Arabidopsis thaliana: one gene and its partners. The protein of the gene in region 1 interacts with the protein of each later gene in a pairwise test. Each region holds a gene or a part of one and is shown on either strand. Other genes may lie near its edges.

The links.
Region 2: the proteins of NHX8 (region 1) and LHT1 interact in a protein complementation assay, tested with the Arabidopsis thaliana proteins (one large-scale study listed by BioGRID).
Region 3: the proteins of NHX8 (region 1) and FLA2 interact in a protein complementation assay, tested with the Arabidopsis thaliana proteins (one large-scale study listed by BioGRID).
Region 4: the proteins of NHX8 (region 1) and BETA-TIP interact in a protein complementation assay, tested with the Arabidopsis thaliana proteins (one large-scale study listed by BioGRID).

What each region holds. Positions count from the first base shown.
Region 1 is NC_003070.9:5,029,638-5,039,331, forward strand, and holds NHX8 (Na+/H+ exchanger 8), read right to left. Parts: upstream 6,974-9,694; 5' UTR 6,803-6,973; coding exon 6,583-6,802; intron 6,487-6,582; coding exon 6,436-6,486; intron 6,368-6,435; coding exon 6,276-6,367; intron 6,201-6,275; coding exon 6,123-6,200; intron 6,038-6,122; coding exon 5,880-6,037; intron 5,798-5,879; coding exon 5,696-5,797; intron 5,617-5,695; coding exon 5,499-5,616; intron 5,414-5,498; coding exon 5,361-5,413; intron 5,285-5,360; coding exon 5,219-5,284; intron 5,125-5,218; coding exon 5,080-5,124; intron 4,948-5,079; coding exon 4,895-4,947; intron 4,693-4,894; coding exon 4,508-4,692; intron 4,392-4,507; coding exon of another isoform or gene 4,372-4,391; coding exon 4,327-4,371; intron 4,239-4,326; coding exon 4,131-4,238; intron 3,818-4,130; coding exon 3,589-3,817; intron 3,499-3,588; coding exon 3,196-3,498; intron 3,056-3,195; coding exon 2,958-3,055; intron 2,874-2,957; coding exon 2,742-2,873; intron 2,661-2,741; coding exon 2,526-2,660; and 2 more. Other genes in the region: AT1G14650 (SWAP (Suppressor-of-White-APricot)/surp domain-containing protein / ubiquitin family protein), read left to right, coding at 1-539, 626-883; AT1G14670 (Endomembrane protein 70 protein family), read left to right, coding at 8,032-8,183, 8,463-8,503, 8,612-9,197, 9,274-9,411, 9,522-9,678. UniProt on the Arabidopsis thaliana protein: May act in low affinity electroneutral exchange of protons for cations such as Na(+) or K(+) across membranes. May also exchange Li(+) and Cs(+) with a lower affinity.
Region 2 is NC_003076.8:16,320,491-16,329,382, reverse strand, and holds LHT1 (lysine histidine transporter 1), read right to left. Parts: upstream 5,817-8,892; 5' UTR 5,561-5,816; coding exon 5,531-5,560; intron 5,074-5,530; exon of another isoform or gene 4,684-5,073; intron 4,256-4,683; coding exon 4,089-4,255; intron 4,003-4,088; coding exon 3,619-4,002; intron 3,505-3,618; coding exon 3,111-3,504; intron 3,021-3,110; coding exon 2,915-3,020; intron 2,793-2,914; coding exon 2,701-2,792; intron 2,573-2,700; coding exon 2,504-2,572; intron 2,400-2,503; coding exon 2,301-2,399; 3' UTR 2,001-2,300; downstream 1-2,000. UniProt on the Arabidopsis thaliana protein: Amino acid-proton symporter. Transporter with a broad specificity for histidine, lysine, glutamic acid, alanine, serine, proline and glycine. Involved in both apoplastic transport of amino acids in leaves and their uptake by roots.
Region 3 is NC_003075.7:7,489,179-7,496,216, reverse strand, and holds FLA2 (FASCICLIN-like arabinogalactan 2), read left to right. Parts: upstream 1-3,136; 5' UTR 3,137-3,407; coding exon 3,408-4,619; 3' UTR 4,620-4,990; downstream 4,991-7,038. Other genes in the region: AT4G12740 (HhH-GPD base excision DNA repair family protein), read left to right, coding at 13-28, 71-130, 223-342, 428-525, 612-1,147, 1,224-1,639; AT4G12735 (uncharacterized protein), read left to right, coding at 2,032-2,214; AT4G12731 (uncharacterized protein), read left to right, coding at 2,857-3,039; NUDT7 (MutT/nudix family protein), read right to left, coding at 6,660-6,881, 6,981-7,038. UniProt on the Arabidopsis thaliana protein: May be a cell surface adhesion protein.
Region 4 is NC_003070.9:6,126,478-6,133,456, forward strand, and holds BETA-TIP (beta-tonoplast intrinsic protein), read left to right. Parts: upstream 1-3,547; 5' UTR 3,548-3,731; coding exon 3,732-3,873; intron 3,874-4,173; coding exon 4,174-4,439; intron 4,440-4,569; coding exon 4,570-4,965; 3' UTR 4,966-5,150; downstream 5,151-6,979. Other genes in the region: AT1G17790 (DNA-binding bromodomain-containing protein), read right to left, coding at 1-799; ENODL22 (early nodulin-like protein 22), read left to right, coding at 2,351-2,561, 2,703-2,914; AT1G17820 (testis-expressed sequence 2-like protein (DUF2404)), read right to left, coding at 5,274-5,948, 6,038-6,232, 6,405-6,499, 6,645-6,979. UniProt on the Arabidopsis thaliana protein: Aquaporins facilitate the transport of water and small neutral solutes across cell membranes.

The DNA of each region.
Region 1 (9,694 bases):
AGAACGCTAATGGAGAGGAGCAAGGTGATGGCGTTTACGGAGATCCCAATAGCTTCCCTGGTCCAGCTGCTCTTCCACCTCCTCGACCAGGTGTCCCAATAGTCCGACCATTGCCACCACCTCCTAATCTCGCCTTGAACCTCCCTCGTCCTCCCCCTTCTGCTCAGTACCCCGGTGCACCAAGGCCACTAGGTGTTCCGATGATGCAGCCCATGCATCAACAACACCAGCTCACAATGCCAGGGCCACCAGGACACCCGCAGATGATGATGAACCGACCACCACAGATGCAGCCTGGTATGCATGTGCCACCTCCACCGGGATCTCAGTTTGCTCATCATATGCAAATTCCTAGACCTTATGGTCAGCTTCCACCATCTGCAATGGGGATGATGCAACCACCACCTATGCCTGGGATGGCTCCTCCTCCACCACCCGAGGAGGCTCCACCACCTCTTCCTGAGGAACCAGAGGCAAAGAGACAAAAGTTCGATGAGTCAGCCCTTGTTCCAGAAGACCAGTTTCTTGCTCAGCATCCGGTAATGTGTTCTTCAGTCTTTTGAATCATTTTCTTAGCCATTTTCTTTCCTCTGAGTTGTATCTTACCTGTTTTGTACATTTTCAGGGTCCGGCTACAATCAGGGTTTCTAAGCCAAACGAGAATGATGGACAATTTATGGAGATCACAGTGCAGTCGTTATCTGAAAACGTGGGAAGTTTGAAGGAGAAAATAGCTGGGGAGATTCAAATCCCAGCAAACAAACAGAAGTTGAGTGGAAAAGCAGGGTTCTTAAAGGACAACATGTCGCTTGCACATTACAATGTCGGAGCAGGAGAAATCCTAACATTGTCTTTGAGGGAACGTGGTGGGAGAAAGAGATAGAGAGACAGCTGGTCTACGCAGGGAAATGCTTTTTGATCTCTTATTCTTCTCTAGATGTTTAAATTGATGGCCAAAACTATATGTACTACTCTCTCGTTCACACATCTTTACTCTTGGCTCATCATATCTCTGCTATCTATGGAGTTTTAGAAAAAGTAGAGTGATTATTACTGACTTAAGCTTGTTTTGGATTTGCAGCTGAGGCAACATTTCGCTCTGTAATCTTAAAAAAAGAATGTGATACTTTCCTTTGTCTCTGTCTTTGTGTGTTCTTACTATGGTTAAGCTTCTTTTAGTGCAGTTTGGCTTCTCTTCTCTGTAGGTACGATATGAGGATGCTGTTTTCCTTTTTTCCAAGGGCTTATCGTTGTCACAGGTATGGAATTAGATTAGATAAGATGTTAGTTGAAACATTGGGAATATATTGCTTTAGCTAGTGTACTAATTTTGGTTTTTACCGTATCAGTCACTTGTAGTATTAAACAAGGCTACATAAGATTGGTAAGCTTGAAATGATATGAGAAAATTAGAAAAACTGAAACAGACTTCGAGTTTGTGTTGAAAATTCAGAATTACTAAAGAAAAGTAAAGTTACAAAAGCTGAGTAGCTTATACATGAACTATTACAAGAAGTTGAATAAAAAGAGCTGAGTAGCTTATACAAAAGCTGAGTAGCGTATACATGAACTATTACAACATTCTGAGATGACCCCTTCCCTCTTGGTGACTCAGAGACCATCCATTGAGCTTATGGTCTTTGACTTATTGGTGGTACAAAACAAGTTGAATAAAAAAACTGAGAATTGGGTTTTGAATCTAATTTCATCCTAATTGAGTTTTGGTTTGGTCCTATAAATGTCCTTAAGGCTTGATGGTTTCAAGAGAAGGTGTGACATAAGAAGATGAGGGAGATGATCGGAGACATGATTGTGTATTTTTACGAGAAGGGAAACAAAGACAAGAAAAGAAGACAACACTCATGACTCTTTTAAGAACTTGTCCTCTCTTTGGGACTAGACAAGCTTCTCTTTCACCCATTTCTCTCTCTCAGCCCGGTTTATGTCGGTTTGGTTTTAGTACTAGAGATGATGATGTGTCTCTGCAAGCTGGAACTGCCGACGTGAGAGTTTATAGTGAAGAAGAGTTGGGTGAGTTAAAAGAACCGCGTGAAAATTCTCAAGACGCGTTGGCTCGTTCTTATATTTTTGTTCCTATTGCAAATTCGTTTATAATTTGGGAATTTATATATTTCTGGGATCTAGATTTGTTTTGCATATAAGTGATTAATATAGGTTTAACTTTAAAGTGTACTGTCAGAGTTTGAAGTAGTCAAGACTTTTTCTTTCTTTGGTTCCAAGTTAACGCGTTTTTGGCTTAGAGAGCGACCATGATTTGTTTTTTCGTTGATGTTTTTTTCCCTTTACGGATTTAACCATTATCGTTCTTATTTTCCTTTTCAAAGCCAAAAAGGATTGATTGAAATGATTATACGAGTTCATGAATTCGATCCCTGTAATTATGAAACAAGTTAAAAACTATACGAATGGACTGTTTTTGGTCATAGATCGAACGAGCTCATGACTCGATCCTGGAACCAGATTCTACTCTAGTTGATTCTGACAAGGATACCTAAAGTCTCAGTTCATGCATCTGTTTCGCCAATGGCCAAACTCCTGAAGCTTGAGCGATCTTTCAATAAAGGATTGCTGGTGATCAGATCGTCTACATTTGGAAGTTTTAGTGAAGGAGGATGTCTCAGGAGCTTCTTCAAGTCAGACTGAAGAGGGAGAGTAGAGTGAGAGTGTTAAGCTCAATCATGTGGCTAAAACATGGATGGCAAAGAATCTACAAATTTTACCTGAACAACATCATGAAGATGAGAAACTTCTTTTCCCTCTAACAAGCCAACCTTCTCAAGGTTTTTAATATAACCATTTAGATGATTCAGCACATAATGTGTTACTTGTCTTGTTTTCAAAACACTCAAAACCTGACAAATATATTGGCCAATATCAGCCTATCAGTTAATCCTGACAATTTAATGGGTTTCAAAAAAAAGTATATGGTTCCAAACCTGAGGAAATGAATCACGGACATCTTCCAAGAACTGTTTTGCTTCTTCTCCTTCCACCTCACTTTCATTGATTACAGTAGAGGCAATGTTACTGTTACCTGTGTAAAGAAAAAAGCACATTCTCAGGTAAATGATGGACCAAAGGTTTTCATTCAAGTCTGTATTCGTGAGCTAATATGCAGAGTCTTAAACGAATTTAACATAGAGATATTATTTAACAGAACAGAGTGATGCATACCTAGAAAGATATGCAATTGCTGTCGCGCAATCCTATGGGCACGGAGAAATGCAGAAGAAATGTAACAAGCAGATTCCAGTCTTTCAACGATCAAATGCGTGACTAACTTGTGGGGGATAATTTTTGACTGAAGAAACTTGTAGTAATTTGGGAAATGAACACGCGGTTCTAAACCCCTCCAGTCGCTTAAAGAACTGGTAGAAACAAGGTCAAGTGCCTCATCTACTGATTGCATCAAAACATTAGCAGTACATTGTGTTATTCTCCCATCATCAAGCATCTCCCAGTAAGCTGCCTGGACACCTGATACAGGCAAGAGTCTCGAATCAATAGCTACTTTTGGAACGACACTAGTTTGACAATGAGAAGAATTTACTACGCATTGTGAAATACCATTTAAGAAGCGTATACGTATGTCCATTATATTCGTAGGGTCAAGACTTCCAGCTTCGTACCCATCGTGAGGATTAACTTGTCTCCCTTCTAAATCTTTCAAGCTTGAAATATGTCTTATAACTGTAGGCCAGTCAGCAGATCCAAGCTCCTCGTCATCTCCAAGATTTTCAAAAGCTTTTAAAGCAGTCTTCATCATTTCAAACTTTGTATACTCCAATATTCGTTTCTGTCAATAGAAAAAGAGGAGCATTATCATTATATTTCTGAAGCATTAGTTGCAAAGATTGTGCGTGTATATACATTAGAAGGATCGGTGACAGATTCTGAAGCAGGTTGATTCCCAATCTCTAACTACCTATTCTCGGTTTGTAAAACGCACAAACCTAAGCTAATATACCCACAACTGCAGAAGGATGCAGTCATTTGTGCATGTATAAAGACGGATGATCAGAGGTTCCATTATCTACCCATATATCCTGTCTTTGCTTTTTAGATTTGAAAAGTAGCAGCACAAGAGAATATAGGATTAACATACTGACCTTAGTGGCCGTTAAAGTGTCCATGCGAAGAAGGTGCAAGAGCAATTGGGTAGTGGATCCATTAACAACCAAAGTTAGGAAAACAATCCCACCTGTGAGGAATAGAAACTGCAAAACAGCTGAAACACATCAAGATAACAAAAAGAGCCTCCAGAAAGAAATTCAAAAGTAGTTCATACTGTGTTTCAGAACTCACCCTTGTTCCCGTATCTGAACTGAGATATGAATTTCCACTTGATTGCTGAATCATATGACCGAGAGCTATAGTATGTCAGAGAAAAGGAAATGGGAACATGAATATAAAAGATTTGAAAACAGATTTGAAATTAGTAGATATTGCTCTTGCATGAATGAAATGCCATTTCTTCAGAACTCACTTTTACAGATAGAGCGAGCGACAGCGAAACAGCACCCCTTAATCCAGACCACGTGAGTATGATGGATTCCTTCCAATCCAACCCATAGCCAGAACGGCATAGCAATGGGTACAAAACTCCAACAACAACACAGCGGGAAAGTTGGACATACAAGTATAAGAGGAAAAGGAAGCTCCACGAGTTTCCTGAAAAGAACGTTACGAGTAATGAATGGTCCTCTTAACCCCAATATATGTCAAAAAGAAAGCTACTGCGGTAATGGTATCAGGAATTAGCGATGTTATCCGTTAATCATGACGAATTCTAGGAGAAAACCTCCCTTTACATCTTCCAAGAACAAAATAAAAAAAAAATCCGGACGTAGAATAATAAATTGTGAAGAGACACCTTTGTAAGATATTGTCTGACCGCTAAGAACGCTTTCAGCGATAATAACTCCACTGCAATTCACAAGAGACACACATGCAATGATCTTGTATCAATCAGGTATCGGCTAAAACATCGTCTGCAGTATTTTGTTTGTAAAATAACCAGTAAATTTTTGTTTTCGAATCTTGCCAGACAGTTCGTACCTGAGCATAAAAACTAGTGTATTTGCAATGTAAGCGGCCATTTCCCTACAAAAGTTATAGGGCAATCATAAAAATATAATATATACATGTAAAGATTTCCTTTGATTTGACGAAAAAAGAACACTGAGTTGTGAAATACCAGAAGTGATGCAGACTCTGGTGACTGTCCCCCTTAAAAGCTGTCCTTGCAAATGCAGCGAAAAACCTATTACAATTATGTTATGAACAATGGCTTTTTGACACATAACAACAGAAAGAAGGGATAATTTACCACGACTTACATCCCCAAAATCATGACAGTCAAAATTCCAGAAACCCCAGCCCACTCTTGAGCCTGTACATAGTAGAAATTTCTTAGGTTTCCTAGAGATTTAAGATTCTCCATTGGGGACTAAGTTATGTAGAAGAGAAGAGCATACAGTGTAATAGGCGAAATAGCTCGCTGAAAGTGTTACAGTGATCTGAGCCACCGTGTCATTGAATATGAATTTAAGCCAAAAAACTGATGCAATTCCAAAAGCTAGACCAATGCCTACACTAAAAAACCAGAACAACATAAGCGGAGAAAAGAAGACAGCGACATACAATACTACTAACAAAGGAAAATAATCCATACGCTCCGAATGAGTTTTGGACAAGAAATTTGATTATGGAACCCCAATCAGAGTTATGCCCCATCACCATCTTGAAGAATAATTGAAAAACCACAACCGATACCCTGAATAATCCAAACAACTAAGCTTGATCATATATGACATAACATCACCTTGATGCTAAACATAAGAGTTTGACATGGTTACCCATCGTTCATGAGAGATTCCCCATCAATTAACGTGGTCATCTTCTTACTAGCACCAAGCTCCTTTAGCAAAGCAACAACAGCCACGGGGTCGGTAGCTCCTAAAAGTCCTCCAAGCAACAATGATGTTTTCCAGTCCCAGTTATATGGAAAAGTAAGCTACAAGAGCATAACTCGAAAAAATTGTTAAGTTAATTGAAGCTCACTTAATCACAGTCGAAAATGTTGAAGCTAGTTAAAGTACCTTTATAAGAGCTCCGAGACAAAAGGTGGAAATCAGAACTCCAGGTCCAGCAAGCAGAACCATTTGTCCCATACATCTCTACCAATGATGTAAAACAATCAATACCAGGAACCAACACAGCCAAGGAAGTAGCTCAATCAGGAAAGTAAAAACCTTGATCTGGTGCACATCCATGGAGAATGAGCTCTCGAAAAGAAGAACAGGGAGAAAAACAGCCAAAAGTAGGTCAGGGTTGATACCATTCCCTGTAAAGTTGCCATTTTTTAGAGCTCGTAATCTAACAGTATGGAGAAGAGAAAATACAGTAGCTTACAGATACGAATTCCATGGCCGAGCTTCCCAAGGTTATGCTTAGTTCCATATTCTACAGAAGCAAAAAAATCCAAAATTTAACTACTTTCTAAAATCTTCCACGAAATTGAAACTGAGCTATAAAGCTTAATGAGCAAACAAATAAGACCTAGGGATCCGAGAAAAATGCCGATGACGAGAAGAACGACGGTGTACGGAACTCTAGTGCCGTTAAACAAATATCTACAAGCGGTGCCGAGAACCAGCGAAGTTCCCGCGAAAATAACAGCATCAACAGGACTCGAATCGTTCTCAGCTGAATACGAAGAAGATGCAATTGCTTTCTCCGGTGATTTGTACGGCAACGCCGCGCCGATTATACTCGTCATCTCCGGTAGAAAGAAGCAAACGATCAATCTTTCGTTTTGCCAGTGATTACGGTCAAAGATGCTTTTACCGAACCGAATCTGCTTCGTTTAAGAGTGAACCAAGATTGAATCTAGTCTGGTTTGGCTTGACCTGTTTTATTTCGGTTACGTCTGGTTTTCTATCACTAATTTGAACGAAAATTTGAGAAATCTTAATACGTTTTTGATTAGGTTTCTGTTTTCTTTGCTAGATATGAATGTAGTTACTGGATTATACTACTCTGTTCAAATGAAGGGTACATATATTTACATGAACCAAATTATGAAATAACAAAACCGACTCACTCTAGTCTCTAAACTTAACTAGTGTCACTTTTGTTTGTTTGTTTTGATCCATACTTCAATGTATCTTGTTCAAATTGTTTGATTTTATTTTTGGTATAAGTGGCTACATTGTAATTTCTTGCTGATTCAATCTATAAATCGAAAACCTTAAATTATCCATGCCTCAAAACGATGCACGTTGTGTATAAATGAGAATTTTAAATTGTTTAGTTTCTATAATTGCTGTCATGACGTGAGATCATGCAAAGCAATTACGTACGATAACGCACGTAAAGGAAAAATGATTATCAGATTCATATATTTTTTTTTTCAAAAACTTGGTCTCGTGTAACATCATTCGTCATTCTTCATATTCACTATACTATAACCACAAAAGATATTAAAAAAATAGTCACTCCACTCCACATCTAATACAAAGAAGTAATAATTTAACTATTCAAAATTTATGAAGTGTTAATACGATAAGATTTTCGACCCAAGGAAAAAAAACACTATAAGATACATAGGTTTGGCAGAACAATTAGTTCGCTCACTGCCTACATATTCTTTTTTTGGTTTAATTAGCCTACATATGGGAAAATGATTTGTATTTTGTTAAATGCCACTCACATTTGTTATAAATAATTAGTCTTGGTTTCAAAAGCCATATATTTATGAATTTATAGACATTGATATTTATTTTTATGGTTGGAAATGGTATAAAGTATTATTGACTATAGTTTTTTTATGTATTTTTCTTATGAAATAAAGTGAGAAAATAATAAAAATATTAAAATTTGTGTAGCTGACTCGAGTTTGATTGAAGTCTTTGGTATATAAATATTGTCGTTATTTCCTCCATTTTTCTCCCTCTTCTCCCAAATAAAAAAAGTTACTCAGATCTCACGATTTGAGCAGAATACGCAATGAGGACACCGACGACGATTCTCCTTCTTGTCGGAGCTATCCTCTTCTCCGGCGCCGGCTATGTCAGATCCGACGCCTCCGACCACCGTTACAAGGAAGGAGACACCGTTCCTCTCTACGCCAACAAGGTCGGCCCATTTCACAATCCAAGGTAAACGGAAACATCTATTCTAGATCTGAGCTTCAGATCTGAGGTTGTTTCCCATTCTTAAGCCTGAGGATGATAAATTGATCGTTTATTGTTGAATCTGTTGCTATTGAATTGAGTAACGACATTGATAACTGAGTACACTGCAAAATGCGTAATGTTAAAACCAAAGAGTGAAAGAAGAAACTACATTTGGAATGTTTTTCGTTTATGTGATGGATCTGTCTTAGATTTGAATACTATTATATGACTGATTTTGGTTTTGTTCAATGATGATTGCAGTGAGACGTATCGATATTTTGATCTTCCCTTCTGTATCCCAGGTATGCTTATATCTTTACTAGCTTAATCACACGATTTGTGTTTAAGCCGCAACTGATTTGTGTGACATCTCCTGATTCGATCATCCCATTATTGAATATGGTTTATAGAGGGTGTGAAAGAGAAGAAGGAAGCTCTTGGCGAGGTTCTAAACGGGGATCGGCTAGTTAGCGCTCCATACAAGCTCAACTTCAGAGATGAAAAAGAGTCTGAGGTATACTGCAACAAGAAGTTGAGTAAAGAAGAGGTCAAACAGTTCAGAAAAGCTGTTGAGAAGGACTACTACTTCCAGATGTACTATGATGATCTACCTATCTGGGGATTCATTGGAAAGGTTGACAAGGATATCAAATCTGATCCGAGTGAATTCAAATATTTCTTGTACAAGCACATTCAGTTTGAGATTCTATACAATAAGGACCGTGTGATCGAGATCAGTGCTAGAATGGATCCTCATTCGCTTGTGGATCTCACTGAGGATAAGGAAGTTGATGCAGAGTTTATGTACACTGTGAAGTGGAAGGAAACTGAGACTCCTTTTGAGAAAAGAATGGAGAAGTACTCTATGTCTTCTTCTCTTCCACATCATTTGGAAATCCACTGGTTCTCCATTATTAACTCCTGTGTCACTGTCCTTCTTTTGACTGGATTCCTTGCAACTATCTTGATGCGAGTCCTCAAGAACGATTTCATGAAGTAAGTTTCAAGTTTCCTCACTGTCGACTGTTTTACACTTGTCTATCTCATCTAACCTTATTCCAATGCTTAAAAGGTATGCTCAAGATGAGGAAGCTGCTGATGATCAAGAGGAAACTGGATGGAAGTACATTCATGGCGATGTGTTTCGGTTCCCTACTCACAATTCTTTATTTGCTGCATCGCTCGGTAGTGGCACTCAATTGTTCACGCTGTAAGTCTCTCATAACTCGAATACTTTCCATCTGGATACACTTTCATCCATATCCGCATTTCTTCTTACTGTAACTAACTGTAGCTTTTCCTTTTATTCCATGTCATCAGCACCATATTTATTTTCATGCTTGCTCTTGTTGGAGTGTTCTACCCATACAACCGAGGAGCACTCTTTACCGCTTTGGTGGTCATTTACGCTCTCACTTCTGGAATTGCCGGATACACATCTGCCTCTTTCTACTGTCAACTTGAAGGAAAAAGCTGGGTAAATATTTACACAT
Region 2 (8,892 bases), on another chromosome or scaffold:
AAAAACCGCTATTATAGGTTGAATTTATTTGGTTATCTATACACATCAAATATTTTCCAACAAATCAATAGTGTATATTCGTTTATGAGTCATTCTTTTTTAAAGTGAAAGCGCGAGATTTCAAATTTGTTTCCTTGTTTATTTTGTATATGCGTACGTACAACATAAATATAAAAAACAAATAAGAAGGGACTAGTGAAGAAATCATAAGTGAACAGATGGCAATTTTAGTTGGAGGAGAGTTCATAGAAAGGGCTGTCTTGGTTGGTCCTTGTCTATAAATAAGGTTCTTTCTTTCTCTTCTTTTAACGACAAAACCCATGATTTATGGACTAACCTTACAGCTCACACATGCATATATCATACATATCACTGGATGTTATACTATTAACTATATTATTTATATATATATGTTTTAGTAGCCTCGATCGTTTATATTTTATGCAACATTGTATAGTCGATGGTGGAATCAAAACTCTCTTATTGGCCGGACGGTCAAAATCGATATTATCCTATACGAGGTATAAACTCCACAGACATAGTCAATAATTATTACGTCTAAATTTAATATTGTCAACACATATATATCAATCTATTTTAGTAATTAGTTTAGACTTTGGAGCAACATATTAGCATCATTGTTTAATATAATTTGGTCGCATGGGCTGATTTCTGGACTATTTGGGCATGATCCTACAGTGGTCCATGTAATTCAATGAATAAGATCACATGTCACTTGGGCCTTTACTGGCTGGGAGGCACAGTTACAAAAGTGACTTGAAGCCTTGTGGGATTAAGTGTTTAAACGATCAAAATACTTTCATCATAGTATTCAAACTTTGATCAGGATTCATGACATGCAACAGTTTTAAGTCTTAATTAAGAGGACTGGACTCTATATATCCTAATAAAAAAACAAGTCCATACACGTGATAAAGTTAAATTCAAACTAATCTCACACGTGACAAGACAATGTAAGATCAAGACAGTTTTCTTGCTACTTGCCAGAAGAGCAACATTGCAGATCCTATGCAAACAAATACTCTGAAGATGTTGCAACTGATATGAACGAATTGTCATTCCACCCTTGCGGAATTCAAAATTGATTTGTAAGCTATCTATTTAACAAAAGAAGAAAAATAGGTGCAAAACATTCGACTGCTCTATACCAAAATCCTGCCCAAAGGATCCATATACAACTCCGAATCATGTATTCTCAATAAATCGATTCCTTATCTCTTACAATAAATGATAATTACATTATATATAATCGTAAAAGTTGGTCGAAAATAATATATATTTGTAATCGTATAAGATAGTGATTGGGTTGGAAATTAATTTTTACAATGAGAATGATATTTATGTCCTGCCAGGCCATTAGAAATGTGGGCTCAGGAACGGTCCAATACTAAATTAAGAGGCCGAATCAGAATGTCATTACACCAAGTCACCAAGGTTGGATTAAGCTGAAATGATTCATTGCCTCTTCTGTAAATGTGGGGTTAAAGCACAAATGCGAAACTATAAAGAAGCTAAATGCATATATTATAAGCGTGAACAAACGGCAGTTGTAGCACATGCATATATTATAAGTTTTTTAGTTGGTTTTTAAAGTTTGGATTGGTTCAAATGGACAAGAACAATATTTTGTGTTGACAAAACTTCTTTTATTTTATTTTTAATTTCATCTTACTATATGTGCAAATTTGGCTGGCAAAGACTGCCATCGAATCTTCGAGTAAGATAATCATGAGTTATTGATTGGGTTTACCCCATCCGACTAATCAAATTTTAGATTCTTAATTCAAATATAAGAAACAGTGGAACATTGAACCCTTGAAAGCTTATAAATATGTTTCTTTATGCATATTCGTTTTGTAATGTATGAAGTATATAATTCATTTTTCTTCGTTGACTCACTTGTGAATCTTCTATTTTTGTCGTTATTTGCACGCTATGAAATATTTATATTCGTACTAATCATGAATTTAATGGCTATAATATAATAATAGTAATAACTTGGAAGTTGGAATGATATCCATCTATGTATTCTTTTCTTGAGAACACAAAGAATCAATCTCCTCAGAAAACCAAACATTTTGAAAACCTATTTGAGCAAAATATTATTGTTTTATATAATATATATAACACACACGAAAATACAAACCCTAAAAGCTACATTTAGATTCAGACCAGACCATTGATTCTTCTATAAATGTCTCGTGTTGATCTCTTAAAAACTTCTTCACACATATATTAATATAAAGATATGTTTCTTAATTAGTGGAATTACATAGCGTTTATGAGTAAAACTTGTATCCTTTTGCTTGAATAACGATTGTCCTTAGCCCTCCAATTGGCGATAGGACCATCAAGAAAAGACCAAACACGATGCATACCTGAAATAAACAACAAACAAAATTTTATTTTTTATGAAAAACAATATAACAAAACGCAACCGCGGATCGCAAATGCTTGAAAAGTAAATGATAATGTTACTTACCCAGTTGGCCCACCAAGACAAGCTGTATTTCTTGGGTTTGTAGATGGCTAACCAAATGACGCAAGGGAGCTGAAAAAATTATAAATAAATTAGGTAAGCTAATTTGTATTAATCAAAATTTGAAAAAGTGCATATGTTTCTTCATGAATAATAATTCATTCGAGCTGAAGAAAAGCGTTAAGTAATCGCAAACTTACGAAGTATGTGGTTGGGGCAAACGCGAATCCACCAAAGAACGCCAAAAGCCCACCGAAGAACGGAAACGTCATACCAACAAACATAGTTGCAGCTACAAAACCATAATTAAGATGACAAAAAAACTCATCATCAGATTTTTTGAACAACTAACACCTTAAAAATGTAAATATACATAAGTAAATAATAAACGTGAATTTCAATAAATTTTCTTACCAACGTAGAAATTACGGACAAAGAACCGAAGAGTTGTGGTTGGTCTGAAATTTAGCTTCTTGACCAATAAAGTCTCCATCATATCAAATACCGGCATTGCATATATCTGCAACAAAACCAAGATTTGGTTTAGACCTAGTTAATAACGGTTCTCTCTCGAGTATTTAAGGGTACGTTCTTGTTTAGAAAAACCAACCTGGTAACTACCAATGACATGGATCACGACGAAGATGTTCGCCGTGGCGATTAACCACGCCGGTTTCTTAAGTGACATGAGAATATTATCTTCGACTCCGTTCCCGAAAATGTAGTATCCAACGAGAGCCACGGGGAAATAACAGAGCGCTACGACGATGTAAGCAACGATGACTCCTCTCCACATGGGACCTTTTGAGGGTTTCTCAGGCGTTGAAGGGATAGTTGCTTGGATCTCAAGGACCACATTATGACCCGCGTAAGCAAATGCCACATCACCTAAACCGCTGAAGAAATTGAAAACCGTACCGGCTGTTGTTTTCGCTTTGTAACCGTATTGAACGTCTTCTTGAACACCTTTGCTTGCTGATGATGCCCATGCGATTGTTGAGTAGCTAGAAACAAAAAGGAAATTGATTTAGAACCGGATAATAAGGAAGAGAAAACAGAGTTATTAAATAAACCAAACCAAACTAATTTAAATTACCGAACCGGTTTGAATGATTTACCTGAGAGACATAACGGCAGCAGCAAGAGAAACGCCGGAGATGGAATTGAAATTAGGAAGATGAGAGAGGACGAAGTGAACCGAAGCAAAGATCATGATGAAATAAGTAAGCTTGATTGGTTTACAATCATCACAAACAAGCTCATGAAATTTCTTTAAAGATTTGCCTCCAGTGACCATATAAACGATGCAAACACCGATTTCAACGATCAATTGTTGCGGCACAACGATATAAAGACCGAGTTTTTCTCCAAACGCGTGTTGTCCGAGCTCATGGTAACGATCAAAACGCTTTCCAGGAACCATTTCATGCATTTCCACCATTTGCCATAATGTGTATAGTGTTATGACCCATGACAAAACCAACACTGCAATTCCCGGTCCCCTGAAAAGAAAACAAATTAAAACCGGTTAAGATTTGATAAATCCGGTTTAGGTAAAATAAACCGGTTTTGGTTTAGGGGAATTTACCATCCGAGCTGAGACATGGCGTAAGGGAGTCCAAGAACTCCGGCACCGACCATGGCGGTGACATTGTGAAAAGCAGAGTACCACCACTTTGCATTTCTTGATGAAGTAATTGGTAACCAATCTTCGATCTCTTTTTGTCTCGCTGCTGCTAATTTCTCATCATCCTGCTTTATTATCACAAGAATTTCAATTGCAAGAAAAGTCAATGATTTAATTACAACTCGGTTAAAAAGTTAAATAATAAACTTCTAGGGTAAAAAGTATAAGGGTGGATTTTGGAAGATCTAGTAGTCTAAAATGGTTTAGGTTGGTGACTAGGTGGAACGTCCCTAAAGTTTGGAAAAGTCAGAAACTGACCCATACTATAAAGTTGAGATCTACAACTACGTGCAAAGGTTAAAGGACAAAGAGAACAAGTTGATTCTGACTATTCCACAAAATCAATGAGAAAAGTCAACTTATACGAGTGTTGCTAAAAATCATGATTTTTGGGGATGTACAGTTAGATTTAATAACTTATGGGGTAAAAAGAAAATAAGGTTGAAAAGTTTGGAAGATCTCTTGGTGTAAACATGGTTTAGGTTGGTAGACAAACCTTACACAAAAAAAAGAAAGAAAGTAAAGAACAAGTTGATTTTGTTCATTCTACAAAAAATCAATGGAAGAAAAGTCAGAAATTATATGTCAGTGGGCTAAAAATGTGTATATAATAAATTATGGGGTAAAATGAAGATAAAGTAAAAGTACAATAATGGATTTGGAAGATCTCTTGGTCTTTTCTGACGATGGTTAAGGTTGGTAGAAGTTCCCTAAACTTTGGAAAAGTTGGAAACTGACCATGTACGGTACTTGAAAGTTAAGATCTGAACTTACGAACAAAAAGTAGATCCTTTTTTTTTGTTTTCGTAAGAATTCAATTACATAATTTTGGAGGGAAAAAAAAGAATGAAACTAGTAATTAAGGAGTTTAAGAAAAATCGTAAGCATTTAATGAGTCAGAAGTTTATAGTCAACACGTCATTAACTTACAATAAATTACTTCTGTCTTTAAGTTCTTAAATTCTCTCAACATCTTATCTATCTCTAAGCACCACAGTTTTTTTTTTCTGGATATTTTCTACAAAATAAATCCAAAGACCGAAAGGAAATTGTATCGTTGCGAAAACAAGGCTCAAAAAATCTTTGAAAGAAGAAACATATTATGAGAAATTCAGTGGGTGAGGTTAAAAAAAAGAGAAGTATTATTGTTTATCATTTGATAATTAGACTCAATTATCATCTTTACTTTTTAATTTGCTTTGCCCTGAGAAAATAACTCAAAGTCCAATTTGTCTTGTTCATAACAAAAATGAAGATCGATTATCGAAAAAACAAAAACAAAAATGAAGATCTGAATCACAATAAGGCAATAACATTGTGAGAGAAAGAGAGGAGAAACTAACATGATCATCATGAGGAGCTTGAGCTACCATGGTGAGAGGTTGAGAGGGAGAGAGAGAGATAGAGAAGAAGAGCTTAATTAACAAGGCCTCACACTTCTGAAAGATATTATGCTAAATATATAAAGCTCCTCATGAAGATTATAAGCACTGATACATCGTATATATATGCACTTAATTAGTTGAATATTATGACTTATGAGAGAGAAAGAAATAAGAGAAAATTTTAAAAGTGGAAGTTTTTGTTTGACTTCACAAACTACTTGTGGAGATGGGCACAAGAGTTATGAGCTGGACTCTTCTAATATATTCAACCTAACATAGAATCTTATAAATTAATAGTAATTATATATCTCTTACAATTAATTCATCCACTAAATGTTTAATTATGAATTAAATTTCATATACTATCCCTAGTTTCGTAACTTAAATAGGATTGGTTAACAAGGGAAGACCGTTTGCTTAATTAATTTGTAATTTAAGTATTTTGTTCAGTTAATTATTTTGTGTAGATCAGTTGTGTAGTAATTAGATTAGTCATAGATGCTATACTTAAATAAGTGAAGCTCCCTAAACATAATTATTTATTCGAATTTAGTAGTATGTTTTTGGATTTTTATATGTACCAATTAATATATTCACGGAATCTTTTGTTTTAATATCTTTTCAGATACATGAATGTCGATGTAATGACTCTTTGATGTATAAGCTATGTTTTGGTTTATAAGTTATCTTTTATTGACTAACAATAAAGAGGGAGAAGAAAGCCGTTCTTTTTGTTCACACCTAGATTATCTCGTCTAAATTGTTCGTCTATGGAGGACCAAAAAAAAAGATACTACTATATCATACTACTAGACAATAGATTATAGAGTCGATCCAAGGAATATACAATAAATTACTTTAATCTTAAACTATTAGTCGTTATTATAGATAGTGACAAGAATAGTTAATTTTGGGGCTTGTCAAATTTCTTAAATATCAGTTTCGATACCTTATGTGCTTTGTTATTATTGTTCATTTTTTTTGGCTAACATAAGTTAACAGAGCAAATGAAATATTGATCTCTAAAAACGAAACAAATCACAAAGATTTAAATTAAAAATCTTTGATTATATATGCTTTGAAAAATATAGATATATGTGTATCTTTTTGTATAGATATTGTGTTCCTTAATTTTGTGATTCAATTATTTTATAGCTAATTTGATCAATATCATGTATATAAAAAATATAATAGTGATCAAATTAGTTATAAATTCATTGAATTTTATAAAATTAAGAAACAAAATCAATATATATATATATATATAAACAAGACACATATATATATACATTTATATATATATCAAATATTATTTATTTTAATATATATGATTTGTTTCACTTTTTACATATTAAATTTCGCTTTTATTTTAAAACCACTGATTTTGTTTATTAAATTATGATTTGTTTCGTTTTTAGATAATTTAATATTTGTGAGTTTTATTATTTATACGGTTTTGTGGAATTGTGAATTTGTGATCGTATCTAACCCAAATCTTTCACATATACATTAAAATTCAAATATTCGATCAAATACCCAACTCCAGCTGGTAAATATTATTAGCAAACTATATATTAAAGCTTTAAAACCTTATGAAAGCACAATAACTAAGAATTTAAACAAAAAAAACTTTTATACATAACAAAAACGCTGGAAAGTGCGTTTCGTAAAGTGTCTAGCGTTGATCGCCGTAACCAAACAGTCCATCACTGATTTTTGCACATTTTCAAAACGTTATATATCGGTTTAGATTTTGGAGTCTTTAGACTAAACCATTGCTTTTGAAAAACAAACATCTTTTTGTCTTTTTGAACCAAAAACAATGTAAAATCATTTGTTTATTTGAAGTGTGATTTTGAGAGAAACACATCATCTCTCGTGACTCGTCTATGGATACAAGTCTACAAGTTTATAGTTATAGAGTTATACTATTGAAAACTATACTTAAAATATCACAAAGTTATATATTTTAGTTAAACTTACACAGTAACACTATAATTAATGATTTCATCTTGAAATGAATAGCTACTTATGATTATTTTTATTTTTTTCTAAAAAATCTTCTTTAAAAAAAAAAACTTTGAATTTGCTGTAAAAGTAAAAAATAAATCGAAACATATGTTAAAATGTTTGGTAAAAGTTAATTCATATGGAGTTCGACGTCACTAATCACTATACATAAGAAATAAATCCAAACACATGTTAAATGTTTGTTAAAACATTATATGAAATTCGACGTCATTATACATAAAAAATAAATCCAAACATAAATTAAATGTTTGCTAAAAAAAATGTTTGTTAAATGTTGTGTAGAACTTCTCGTGCCGGTGAGAACCAAGGTTTTAGAATCGTCTTCAAGTTAGTATGTTTTTTAACTGAGTATTTTCTCATTTCTTGTGGATGAACCCTTGATTAACTATGAACTAGTTTGCACTTTGCACTAAGATGCTATCCACTTTTTTCTCCAATTTCTTGTGGATCTAATTGATACATAGTTTTTATTTTATTTTTAGCATTGGAGAATATCTTATAGATCTAATGTCGATAAATTTTGGGATATTTGAATCTCTCTTATATTTGTACTTTGATTCAATTTAATGAATGAGATAAGTATCTCTCCAAAAAACTATAGAACATGAAGGAATTTGTCGATAAACGTTTTCTAATGTTTTTAGAAACTATAGAAATTCTTAGAATACAATTTCACATATAGTTTAGAACATGAAGGAAATTTTAGAACATGAAGGAAATTGTAGAACTCTTCTAAATTTAATTTCCCCAATAAGATTTAGCAAACTGATCGATATTTGATCAAACATTTGAATTTTAGCGAATATGTGAATACCAAATGGCTGGCTAAATTGGATCAAGTACAAATAGAAATAGATAACAAATATCGATCTGGAAAGTGTGTTTAGCGTTTAGTACAGTGTTTAGCGTTGACCGCCGCAAACTTGTAGCCAAACAGTCCATTATTGATATTTTGTGCACTCTCAAAACGTCATCTTATGTAAATCTCAAAACAGGGAAATATTATATTTCTGTTCAAACTATTGAGTCTTCTGACTAAACCATTTATATATTGTTTATGATCTCTACAAGACTACAAATTTATATTTTCGTTTTTTAAAAGTTAAATATGATAATAAAAACAAAAAAACTATTGTCTCGGTGAGACAACCAAAAATATGCCTCTGTGTGCGTATTTGATGGTTTTACGCAACCTTTAAAGTCAATAATTTTATCTATGACTCTGTGATAATAGTTTTGTTTGTAGCAAATGATCTTTTGGTTACGCACATCATAGGAGTATTAATTAT
Region 3 (7,038 bases), on another chromosome or scaffold:
TGTTTTCTTCAGGGGGAATGAGAAAAAAGTGATTCTTACTGCTAATCAAATTGAGTTCTTCGCGCTGCAGGAGGTAAACGAAATGTGGGCAGGTTTGGGATACTATCGGCGGGCACGTTTTCTTTTAGAGGTAAATACTCTTCTGCAATCTGGGGTTTGATCCTAGTTGATACGTTCACTAAATATCATTGTGATCTTTTCTTCTTGTCTTGATTCTCACAGGGTGCAAAGATGGTTGTTGCAGGGACGGAGGGTTTCCCTAATCAAGCGTCTAGCTTGATGAAAGTTAAAGGAATAGGACAGTACACAGCCGGAGCAATTGCCTCAATTGCTTTCAATGAGGTGAGTCAGTTTCATTTTTTTCAGTCATCAATGTAAGACATCTAAGTAATTATCTTTACGTCTTTTGACACTTATTATGAACCAGGCAGTACCTGTTGTTGATGGAAATGTGATAAGAGTGCTTGCTAGATTAAAAGCCATCTCAGCTAATCCAAAAGACCGACTTACGGCCAGGAATTTCTGGTGAAATAACTTTTGTATTTGCTCGAATGTTTCGCTATTGAGACTATACTAAAAGAGAGGATAAAGAAATCATTTATCTTTGTCAGGAAACTAGCTGCTCAGCTAGTGGATCCTTCACGCCCTGGAGATTTCAACCAATCTCTGATGGAGCTTGGTGCTACACTATGCACTGTATCAAAGCCAAGTTGCTCTTCTTGTCCTGTTTCCAGCCAATGTCGTGCATTTTCACTTTCCGAGGAAAACAGAACGATTTCCGTGACAGATTATCCTACAAAAGTAATCAAGGCCAAGCCAAGGCACGACTTTTGTTGCGTTTGTGTTTTGGAGATACATAATCTGGAGAGGAACCAATCAGGAGGTAGATTTGTTCTTGTAAAAAGACCCGAACAAGGTCTGCTTGCTGGTCTTTGGGAGTTCCCATCTGTTATATTAAATGAGGAAGCTGATTCGGCAACAAGGAGGAACGCAATAAACGTCTACCTTAAGGAAGCATTTCGTTTTCATGTAGAACTCAAGAAAGCATGCACTATAGTTTCAAGAGAAGAACTCGGAGAATTCGTCCACATATTCACTCACATTCGTCGAAAAGTTTATGTGGAGCTATTAGTTGTACAACTTACAGGTTTGACCACTATCTATCTCTTTCTTTCTAGGTCTCTTTTTTACATATAGTTAGAGAAACTAACAAGAAGTTACAGGCGGAACCGAAGATCTGTTCAAAGGTCAGGCAAAGGACACTCTAACATGGAAGTGTGTGAGCAGTGATGTTCTTTCTACCTTGGGACTGACATCAGCTGTTAGAAAGGTACCTCCTTTTCGTCTTCAACATATTAAAAGACTATCCTTGGATGTGATGGTTGAGAAGGAACAAATTTTGGAGTGCAGGTGTATTCAATGGTTGAAGCACACAAGCAAGGCTTATCTGTTTCTCATGTCTCATCAAATAGAACAGCCATATCGAGGAAACGAAAATTCTCATGATCTCCTTCTCACACTTTTCTTCATGTTGCTTAGCTTCTATAGTTCTTGTCTAGCATTGGGAATCAAATTTGGTGATCTTGGTTTGAAATTGAACAGCTTAGTTTCTACTGAGAAAAGTGACGGTGATGTGTGATCCCTCCAGAGTCCAGGGGTTGATTATGTATTTTGGGCTAACAAATATTAAAAAAATGGATTGTTAAGGCCCAACTTAAGCCCAGAAATAAATTCAGTCAGTGGATTCATATAATCGCGTGGACTCTTTCTTCCAAATGATTTACATAAAGAGTCAAAAGTCCTTGAACTTCACGTACGAAGACTTGTCAAAAGGCATAATTAAAACGGACAACGAAACTATTCACTTATTAAGCTTGGCCGCCAAGTTATAATGTCACTTTCCAAAAAAGAGACGTGTACAAAGAAGATTCAGTGACTTTCTTCACCATCCCCTTATATATACATTATCTGACATGTATAGTAAGCTCAAATTAACTTAAGAACTCACACTTAAGTTTTAAACCTCCAAGGATGTCTCTCTTCACGCTCTTCTTCGCTTGCTTTGTTCCAAAATCTGGTTCAAGGATTAACACAACCGACAGTAATTTGGAAGTCTTGTCTTTGAAGAAACCCAAAAGAAAAACCGAGTCCATAAGAACTCCTACTATCGTCGTCTCTTATTTTCCCGTAGGCTCCAACCTTTCTCGTCTATAGGAACTAGGAAGTAGGAAGGATAAAAGTGAAATTCTGTAGTTATGATCACAACCAAGAAAATATATGAGGCTGATACTATTGATCCAGTCCAATCTTGTTTATCTATGTAATAGACCAATGAAAGATTCTGCTTGTGGTCGACACTTTTTTGTAATGATGATTTTGTTTTGGGTAAGTTTATGTATATACAGTGGCACAGAGACAGAATAACTATTTATTGATATAAATATTATTTTTTAGTCAAAACTTTCTTACTTAATTGAAAATGAAATAAAATATTTAGCAGCAAATTATATCTTATAAACTCACATGCTTACTCATATCTTGTAATCGTTTTATCATTTGCTTCGTTTTATGCAGTGTTAATAACATTTGCAACGGCAAATCGTCTTTTGAGTAAAACATGTATTGATTCTAACGATTATAGTACAAACAGAAAATATGTTTACTCAATTGCTATATCAGGGTCAGTTGCGGAGTGGTTTGTTTAAAAACCACTCTACCACTATAAATATTTGTAAAATGATGTCATTAATTTTTTTTATAATTATGCTTTACAAGCTTTAGTTTTGGACCGGCCTGACTTTAGGCCAAGATTCAAATTAATAGAAAACCTCGCACTTAAGTTTTACAACTCCAAACATGTCTCTCTTCACACCCTTCTTGGCTTGCTTTGTCCAAAAATCTGATTCACGGGTTAACACAACCGACGCTAACTTGAAAATCTTGCCTTTCAAGAAACCGAAAAGCAAAACCAAGTCTCCAAGAGCTCCCACGATCGTCGTCTCTTACTTTCCAATAGGATCCAACCTTTCCCGTTTATAGAAATACGAAGATGAAAGTTAAATTTTGTAGGTATTTAAATTATACCTAAAATTGGTAAAAATAAAAATATACTATACTGTTACAGTTAAATTTTGGTCATGTCTACGTATGTACCTAGAGCCGAATAAAATATTGAACCGGGCCTTAATATTTCCTAAACACTAATGTGTTTCTCTCGTCGACACTTACTTTCAAATGTGACCCAGACTCAAGCTATGTAGAGCCCACTTACCTGCTGCTGCGCTGGAAATATGCGAGACAGCTTTGTTCATATAATCTATTTTATATATCTTTCATTATTATAAGACTCCTCTCCAAATGCTACCACACAATTCCTCTATCAAAGCCGCCCAATCCTCCACCCAAAAATGGCTTATCTCCGGCGAGCAGCCACCGCATTGGTTCTCATTTTCCAGCTCCATCTCTTTCTCTCTCTCTCAAATGCACATAACATAACCCGAATCTTGGCCAAAGACCCTGATTTCTCCACTTTCAACCACTATCTCTCAGCGACTCATCTCGCCGACGAGATCAACCGCCGGCAAACAATCACCGTCTTGGCCGTCGATAACTCAGCAATGTCCTCCATCCTCTCTAACGGATACTCACTCTACCAAATCCGCAACATTCTCTCTCTCCACGTCCTGGTCGATTACTTCGGCACCAAGAAACTTCACCAGATCACCGACGGCTCCACCTCCACTGCCTCCATGTTTCAATCCACCGGATCCGCCACCGGAACTTCTGGATACATCAACATCACCGATATAAAAGGCGGTAAAGTCGCTTTTGGTGTCCAAGACGACGATAGCAAGCTCACAGCTCACTACGTCAAATCCGTCTTTGAAAAGCCTTACAACATCTCTGTTCTTCACATCAGCCAAGTCTTAACCTCGCCGGAAGCAGAAGCTCCCACGGCGAGTCCCAGCGACCTCATCCTCACCACAATCCTCGAAAAACAAGGGTGCAAAGCTTTCTCCGACATCTTGAAGTCAACCGGCGCCGACAAAACGTTCCAAGATACCGTAGACGGAGGCTTAACGGTGTTCTGTCCCTCCGACAGCGCTGTCGGTAAGTTCATGCCGAAATTCAAATCCCTTTCTCCGGCGAACAAGACTGCGTTAGTGCTTTACCACGGCATGCCGGTTTACCAGTCGTTACAAATGCTTAGATCAGGTAACGGCGCCGTTAACACGTTAGCGACGGAAGGTAACAACAAGTTTGATTTCACCGTTCAAAATGACGGAGAAGACGTGACGCTGGAGACGGACGTTGTGACGGCGAAGGTAATGGGGACGTTAAAGGATCAAGAGCCATTGATAGTTTACAAGATCGATAAAGTGTTGTTGCCTAGAGAAATCTACAAGGCCGTTAAGACGTCCGCTCCAGCTCCTAAGTCGAGTAAGAAAAAGCCTAAGAACGCGGAGGCTGACGCCGACGGACCTAGCGCCGATGCTCCGTCAGATGATGATGTTGAGGTGGCTGACGATAAAAACGGCGCCGTATCAGCGATGATTACTCGAACAAGTAATGTCGTAACGGCCATTGTCGGGCTCTGTTTCGGAGTTTGGCTTATGTGAAGTGACGTGGCATTTACCTCGCTTTGGGAATCTTGTTTTCCTTTTTCTTTGTGATCTGTCGGTTTAATTTATTTTACATATTCTTTTTTTTGTTCACGTTGATACTTGGTGTGGAGATTTGGAATAATTAATTGTTCCACTTGTGTTGGATCTGATATGTTTTATTCTAAAAAAATGTGATGATCATTCAAAAGAGTGATTGGTACGTTGGAATCACGTGTATCTATAAAGATAGTGTCGGTGGTAGTCGAAATAGTGTGAGGCTGTGAGCTGTAAGATGCATGTTACATCCTTTGTGGTCGCTTGGATTTGACCCATGATGATGCTCCATCGTAACTACACTAATATGAAATATAGTATACTTTCAATTACAGAGGAAATCAGAATAGGGACAAAGATTATAATACGAGATAAAATGAGTGTTAGTTCAAACTTCCGATTATAATGTCGTAATATCTTTTAACCATATGTGTTGCATTGCACATAGTAATAAGGGCTTTAAGAGGGATTAAATGTTTTTCTATCTCTAGGTTGGGCATCTCCAACAAAAATTGTATTATCAGCTCCTACCTAATGTGGTGATATTCTTATTAGATATACTAGATCTTTCTTGTTCCATCAATCCATAATTAATAGTGTTTTGGACATGTAAGTTTAGTTAATCTCTAATCCGGTTTACAAATTGCGGTTTAGGTGTAATTAAAAAAAACAATCATGATTTAACTTATTAAATAAAAATCGGATGTATTTAAGAAATTTAGTGTGAGATAAAAATTGATTTTGTTAGTACCTACTTGTAAGAAATGTAATTATTTTATAACAAATGTAATTATTTTGAAGGATACTAAAATAGACATTTTATTGCTTTAAGTAATGTGCAAAACTTCAAAACATTTAATGCCACAACTATTGAACGAAGCTTTATTCACCCTTCTATTCACCTCCTTTTGCATTAACCAATAAAAACATGTCATGTCAAATCTTACTTAAATTACATAATAAATTAAAGCTATAATTATAAATCTAAACCGATATATAATCTCGTTTAATTACAAAATCTAAACCCTAATTCTCCTTTGTAAACCCAAACCTTCATTTAAACTCATTTAATCGTAAGAAAAAACTAAACCCTAATCGTATTTTCAAAACCCAAACCGACATTTAACCTCGTTTAATTGTAAAATCTAAATCTGTTTATAAACCTAAACCAATATTTAATTGGTTAATTGTAAAATCTAAACCCTAATCGTACTTTCTAAACCCAAACCGATATTTAACCTCGTTTAATCATAAAATCTAAACCCTAACCTTTTCTAATAAATCCAAACCGATACATAATTTCGTTTTAGTGGCAAATTAGATTTTATAATAAAATTAAATTCTTTTTATTATTGTTAAATGTCAGATTTTAATTGATTAAAATAGAAGAGGTGAATATAAGGGGGTGAAGGGTGAACCCAAGTATTTTTAGCAACTATTCCATTTTAAATTTTGATGTTTCCATGTTACAATAAATTTTCTATTTCTGGAAAAATAAATACACTATAATTTTAATATGGGGCCTATAAAGTTTTTTTGGGGCTAAAGCCCATATATGCCTTATCTTTTTCACGTTAGGCACACAGTACAAACGAGTCGCAAAAATTGGTGTACATATACAAAGTAATGTGAACCTTTTTAATGGCATTAACACTTTCTTGGATTCACACCATTTACCAGTGTAGTAAATGGTCAAGAGACGATACAGCTGAGAACTTAAAACCGGTTACGAGAAGATATTTTGGAAGAATAAACCAAGTGTATGGTAACACTCTTAAGCCTCATATCTTTAAAAAGCACGTAAGCGTTGGGAGAATCAAACCATCACTGGAAATAGACTAGAAGTCGATGGCAAGTTTTACAGTGGCTCATAGAGATGGTATAAACTTAAATATTTAGACGCAATTTTGTAGAATCGGAATAATATAGAAGAAAGTTTCCTGTTTTGTACACACTGGACACACACATGCCGAGATCAAACAGAATCAGATGAGAATGTTTTCAGAGAGAAGCAGAGGCTTGGTCACGCGATACTTTAAGGCGCTTGGCATGATCCGCATTGCAGTAGATAAAGCTCTCTTTACCAGATGATGTGGTAGTTGGCACAATGGCGAATCCCAAGTATTCTTCCTCACACTTCTTTTGGCAAATGTTAGCCATGAACTTGAACATCTCGTTCTTCTTGTTCCATGGTTGGTCTACATACTCTTGGATCGGCATCCACTGTAATACAATATACCAGTTTCGGTTAAATTTGAAATATATGTCAGTAACTTTTAACATTTTCTTGGCTCATCAACACTGAAAGTTAGAAAGGTTTACCTTAGCTTGCAAGATCTCAGATTTTTGTTCAGTAATATCGTAAGAGCGCGGACTTAAG
Region 4 (6,979 bases), 1.1 Mb from region 1:
GTAATGGCTCTACAATAGGAGCAATGGATGGAGCAGGAGCAGGGAACTCAATATCACGAGTTGGTTTGAACTTCCTATGAAGATTATCATACTGCATTTCAATGGATACCCATTTATCTTCAAACATGTTCAACAAAAGCTCAGCAAAACGATACACATCATGCCCAATCGGATTATACAAAATCGCATTGTTAAAAGTAAGTCTAACATCTTCAGCGAAATCCAATGGCGACTTATACAAACTTTTCCCCAACTTAGTCTTCACTGTACCCAAATCCATAGGCTCTTTAACAATATTGTGATAATCATGCAAGCCAAGTCCTTTAGCATCCACAGGGACATTGAATACCCATGCACTCTTATGCTTCATCAATTTCGTAAGCAAACTGTTACAGTTCTTAAAAATCTGAACCGTACCTTTATCAGCTCCATGCCCACTTTTCTTACCTCCTCCATTCCCTGTTTTCACCTTCTTGCTTCTCCCTACAACACCACTTTTAGCCATTGACCCACCAGGATTAGCTTCGGGATCGAACCGTTTGATCAAGCTCCTAACCTCATCAAGCTCAGATTTTAGTTTCCGCTTCAAGTTCCTAACCTCAAGCTTCGAAATCGAGCTCAGACTTATCTTCAACATGTGATGATCGTCCTCCGACGCAAACGAGTTCGAAGGAGATACAAGAGGAACAGATCGTTCCTGTCTAGAAACTCCCATTGGTTTGGGTCGGTTCTGGCTTGAGCTCCACTTATGTTTCTTCGTCTTTGAAGCTCCACCACCTGATATATGTTCAGAAGACATTCCCCTGACAACCAAATTTGGGGTTTCTCTAGGGTTTTTTGAGCTCCGAGGTACCAAGATTGAGGAATTTAAACACGAAATCGAAGATTGGTGAGATCGAAAGAGAAGAAAATTAGGGTTCAATGGTTACTTCAAAAAAAGATCGCTCTGGATTTTTTGCAAAGCTGAAAAAAAAAACTAAAGGGAAACAATGGTGAGAGCCGCGAGAATAGCGTAAGCTCACGCGCTTTAGAACCCGAGAAATTTGGGAAAACAAACACATGTGTGTAGTAAGGGAAAGTAATCTCAGGTGTCCCCCAACAATATTACCAAACCGGTACGAACCGTATATATACATAGGCTAATCAGATAAAAGTAAGAGCCATCTCCTTATCTCATTGCAAACCAAACTATCATATGCTTCTCATATCTTTCATCTCCTTACTCTTTAATGGAAGGTATCCTGTTTTTAACGTTTTTGTCTAGTCGTTTCATTAATTGGGTGGTGGGTGTTATGATTTTCGCCATGTCTTCTACTGTTTCTCTCTTTCCAAATTGAATAAGTTACCAGCTGAAAAGAATATCTTAGTAGGAATAAGCGAATCTTTCCATGAATGTTGTCCGTGAGTAGCCTTAGTACCATGTTCCAATCGGTAGAGAAATCTGCAGCTAAGAGTTTTTAAGTGAGACTCGACCAAACTTCCTTTGAGTATTGGCATGCGAAGAACAAGTGGTTTCTAGTTTCTACATGCTCTTGACAAAACACACACGAGGTATTAATCCTTACATTCCAAGTAAACAATCTATCTCTTGTAGTTAAACGGTTATGAGTTATTAGCCAAATTAGAAATTAAAAGAGTATTTTGGTGTGGCGTGCGAGAACCAGATACCTTCATACCTTCCTTATTTGGTTTTTGCTCCCGTGTTGCTTCCCATGTGTCTTTGGTGTTGAATGTGGCCTGAAATCGATCATCTTTACCTCTCCAAAGAACTACATCCTCTGTTTCGACTAGCCCTTTGGACCAAAGCTCCTCTATTAAATCCTCCGATCCATTTGGTTTAAATGTACGACTCGATGCCTTCTCCGTTTATGCGTTAGTAGTACTTCGTAAATGTTCCTTTTACGTGACGTCTAACTGCAAACCAATTCGTATTATCTCTATCTAGAATTATTTTTTTCAAAAATATACAAGGTGTACTATATAATATGATATTCATTCATATGATGATATGACAACACTATCATTTTCAATATTTACATTTCTTCCATAACCGCAAGCTAGCATGACTCAATCAAGTCAATTCAAAAGGAAATCTACGAATTTATTGAATTTGTTTCTATTTCTGGCAACTGATAAAAATAGTCATACGTATATATAAAGTCTTATTACTAGTTCACCAAATTAAAACCATGCACCCATTGACCAAAAAGCTCTTCCATAACCAGGTATACATTGCATGGAAATGTATTGATCTTTTTCAAATTCAAGAATAGTCTATATATATATATATATATTAATAATTAGGTGTTGAACAATTCACAAAACTAAAACCTTTGACCTATTAACACAAATGGCTCAATCATCTGGACACGTTTCTTATGTGGCGGTTACGGTTCCAATAGCTATTGTCATGACAGTGTTGTGCTTGTTTCTAGCCAACGCCGTGACCTATGCCCGGAGACCGACCACCTACATTGTGGGAGGCGACGATGGTTGGGATCCGGTTGTTCCGATGGACACTTGGGCACGAGGCAAAACCTTTTATGCTGGTGATATTCTCGGTATGTATCAATGATCTTAAAAAAAATCTTGGTACGGTAGTGTGATTGATAAACCATATCCATCATACTTTAATATTGGCTTAACTTTAATCTGCTAAGACAATAAATTTATATTGGTATATTCATGGTGATACATTGCAGAATTCAAATACGATTATCAGAGATTTAATTTGATTGTGGTAAACCGAACTGGTTATGAAACTTGTGAAGCGAACGTTGGAGCGATAGAATATTCGTCCGGAGACGATAAGATCCAGCTTAATTACGGTTATAATTATTTCATCGGAACATATACTCCCGAGGATTGTACCACCGGTTTAAAAATGGCCATCAAAGCATTGGCTCCAAGATAAATTAAATGAAGCAACTTATTATAACAATGATAAGTGGAATGATTAGTGTTTTCGTACGTAGTGTTGGAGTTATTTGTAACAGTTTAAAATGTTAGATTAATAAATATCTTATTAAAATTCATTTGCGTTTTAATTAGTAGCTTTTCACTTTATAAATAATCTAATGATATCTAGTTTATGTGCTCAAAACGTAAATATTCTTAGGTTATATATTTTCTGTTCTAAAATAAAATCTAATGATGTAGAATCTCGTTCTTTGTAATCAACAAAAGTGAAATATTTATAACAAGTTCTTAGATTGAATCTGTCTTAAATTATCAAACTAAAGCAAGTTTTAGTCTCTCTTTTTTTTCTTTCATAATATTCGTTCTTACCAAAAACTTGTAATAAATATCATGGGATCGATATTTTGACTCTACGATCTCACATGGAAAGACAAAATAAATGACGAGGAAAACAGAAACCGGATCAAGATTCAGAGAATTGTGACTTGATCCACTTGGCACACATGCATAGATATATAGTCACAGCATGGATAGTAGTATACATACACATTTACACAGTACCATTGTTATGTATATATTGAATCTTAATAAAGGAACTGTCCAGATTGAATGATCAGGTAAGATCAAGGAATAGATAGACACGAACAGGATCCACGTGTTCAGCTTCAGACACTCTCATATCACATCTGTCTCCTAATTGCTTCCACTTTGCTTCTTTTAAGCTCTCTCTCTTCAAGTCTTCTTCTCTTGCCTTTTCTTCCTTCTTCTTTATCCATTAAGGTTTGATCCTCTCACTTAAATTAGGGTTATATATGGCTACATCTGCTAGAAGAGCATATGGATTCGGGAGAGCTGACGAGGCGACTCACCCGGACTCCATTAGAGCCACTTTGGCTGAGTTTCTTTCCACGTTCGTCTTCGTCTTTGCTGGAGAAGGCTCAATCCTCGCTCTAGGTTAGTAGTTTATACATACATAGGGTCATAGGGAATATCCCCCCAAAAATATATACATTTTCAGCTATATACTGTTAGCATCTTTACTTGAGAGAGTATTAGTCAAAACAAACACTAGTACTCTAGTAGTATAGCTCCTACACAAACTTATTTATATAATCAATTTTAGAATTTGTTTTAATAAGGAATGAATATATAAGACTTCCTTTGAATTTAGTTATAGTGAATGTTATCGTTGGAACTATGCATAATCATGCATGCATGTGTGATATGAACTATGTTATATGTGTTATTGGACAGACAAGTTGTATTGGGACACGGCGGCTCACACGGGGACAAACACGCCTGGAGGGTTAGTTCTGGTGGCGTTAGCTCATGCATTGGCCTTGTTCGCGGCTGTTTCTGCAGCCATCAATGTCTCTGGTGGCCACGTCAACCCCGCTGTCACTTTTGCTGCTCTAATCGGAGGCAGGATCTCGGTCATTCGAGCTATCTACTATTGGGTTGCTCAGCTTATAGGTGCTATCCTCGCTTGTCTCTTGTTGAGGCTTGCCACTAATGGCTTGGTATATTACTTCTCATCAATCTCTATATATTACTATTGTCTTTTTGGTACAGTTTTGTGTTGAACCAAGAACTTTGTATATATCTCTGTAAATATATGCTCATGAATGAATGTGATTCTCTGTGATGCAGAGACCAGTAGGTTTCCATGTAGCATCAGGAGTTAGTGAGCTTCATGGGCTACTGATGGAGATCATACTTACATTTGCTTTGGTTTATGTTGTCTACTCGACCGCAATCGATCCAAAGAGGGGGAGTATTGGGATCATAGCGCCACTAGCCATCGGGCTCATAGTTGGGGCAAACATTTTGGTGGGAGGACCTTTCGATGGAGCCTCTATGAATCCGGCTAGAGCCTTTGGTCCAGCATTAGTGGGATGGAGGTGGAGTAACCATTGGATCTATTGGGTTGGACCGTTCATTGGTGGTGCACTCGCCGCACTGATCTATGAGTACATGATCATCCCCAGCGTGAACGAACCTCCTCACCACAGTACCCACCAACCATTGGCTCCGGAAGATTACTAGACCGGAGCAGTCTTCATGTAGAGGGTTCTCTCTTTGTATAAATAGTCTCTGTGTTTGCTTGTGTTGTTTGTCTCTTTACTTGTTTTGTTTTCCTGCCATTTCCTATGTATAATTGAGTCCACACCAAAATCTGTTTTCTTGTATTGTATATCTTACAGAATAATAAAGATTTTCAATGATCGGATAAATATGGGGACATCTATGGCTTTCTCTCACATCTCTGTACATATGTAACAATGCCTAACTTCCTCTGTTTCTATAAATCAGTTTTTGCATCTGAAACCTGCAAAAGCTTCTTCCTTCTCATGTTAAGAAGGTCCTCTCATCTTTTCAACAATCTGTCTACTCTTCTCCTCCATGTGACGCCTCTTCTCCTCCAATTTCTCCCCCATTTTCTTCCCAAGATCCAACATTCTTGCTCTTCTTCCCTGTTTTTTCCCCCTTGAATCATCTTCTTCGCTTGAAGCTACAGACCTAGATGGTGACTGAACAGCAGAAACCTCTCTGCTACTCCCTCTTGAGTTCGTCTCCTGCTTGTTACTGCTGCTGGGTACCAGTAGTGGAGTTTTCAGTTCTTCCAAGGATTTATCATTCTCTATTGTTACAGTTGTGGAGTTTGACAATGGCGTAGACATAATAGCTTCTGCTTCAGTATTCTGTTTCTGGAAAGCAGTGGCCGCTTTCTGCACTTGCTCAGACTGAGCACAGGAGGAAGAAGCCAATGTCCCTATTTCAGAAATAATCTTCTGGGTGGCGTTTGCAGTTCTCTGCATTTGCTCAGCTTGAAGACATGAGAACGAAGTCGGTGGCTTGTCAGATTTAGATCTCGCTTCTGTTGCATGGGAGGTATTGTGATCGTTTTCTTGATTCAGCCACATGAATGGAGCGGCTTTGCGTTGAACCCAATCATCTTTTTCAGCAATCATCCAAGGAATCGTTAGGCTTTCACAGTTGGGAAGAACCACCGCTTCTCGTATTGCCGTCTACAGAATCATAATGTTATCACATTCTGTCAGCTCAAAGTCCTCTAGAGAACAAAAGAAGAGAATCACAAAGGAGAAAGAAACTGTACCTTAAACCGGTTGATCAAGAACATTGCAACATGGCTGTTGGTGATTTTGTGTTCCCCAACAGAAGATGCGAGATCGAATTCGATATCCGGCATGCTCGTGAATCCAAACCATAATTGATCAGAAGGAGGCGGCTTCATGTGTACCCGCAGTGTCCCTCGAAGAGAAGACACCCGTATTGACAAAGAGATAGGCACCTGCATTTGAGAAACAGAGATTTCTAGAAAACCATATTGAGACATGAATGACTAGAAAAGCAAAACATAAGAACCCAAAAAAGGTTATGAGGAGAACTAAGGATAGGTTATATCAAGCCAACAAGCAAAATAAAGAATAATCTTGTGGATGTTTAGGAAAAGGAGAATCAACCTGAGAAACTTGTTCAGCAATTGTTTTAAGAATAGACTTCCACCTGGATACACCATTTGGAGCTGCCTTCGTACCTCTTGAGCTCTTGGATTCATCTGCAACCAACAGAAAGATGGTAAGAAATCAATCGTAATTATCACCTTGAGAAAAAGTTTTGAACAGGAATCACGCTCGCATGATCTCTGTGGGTTAAACTAGAAAAGACTGCATTAATCCACATTAAGTAAACATTGAACTAGCCTGCTTTATTGGCTCCACCATTTTTCACTTCTCCTGCATTAACAGTTTCCACAGGGAAGACTAATTGCTTTTCAAAATCTTCAACACCTTCAGCAAAATTTGACGGGACTACCCCTGAAGACCTTGGCTGCAACCTTGTATCGGTTATGCCTTGTTGCAGATCCACCTCACGGATGTCAACCCGTGTTTCAACGTCAATCACCACGTCACCAGAGTATTCAATATCTAGTTCGAATGCCCACACACCACTCATCTCCATTGGAAGAACCCGTGTAGCATGTATATGAGGTGGGAGATTTCCAGTGTCAACATCGGAGCAGATTAGTTCGCCTATG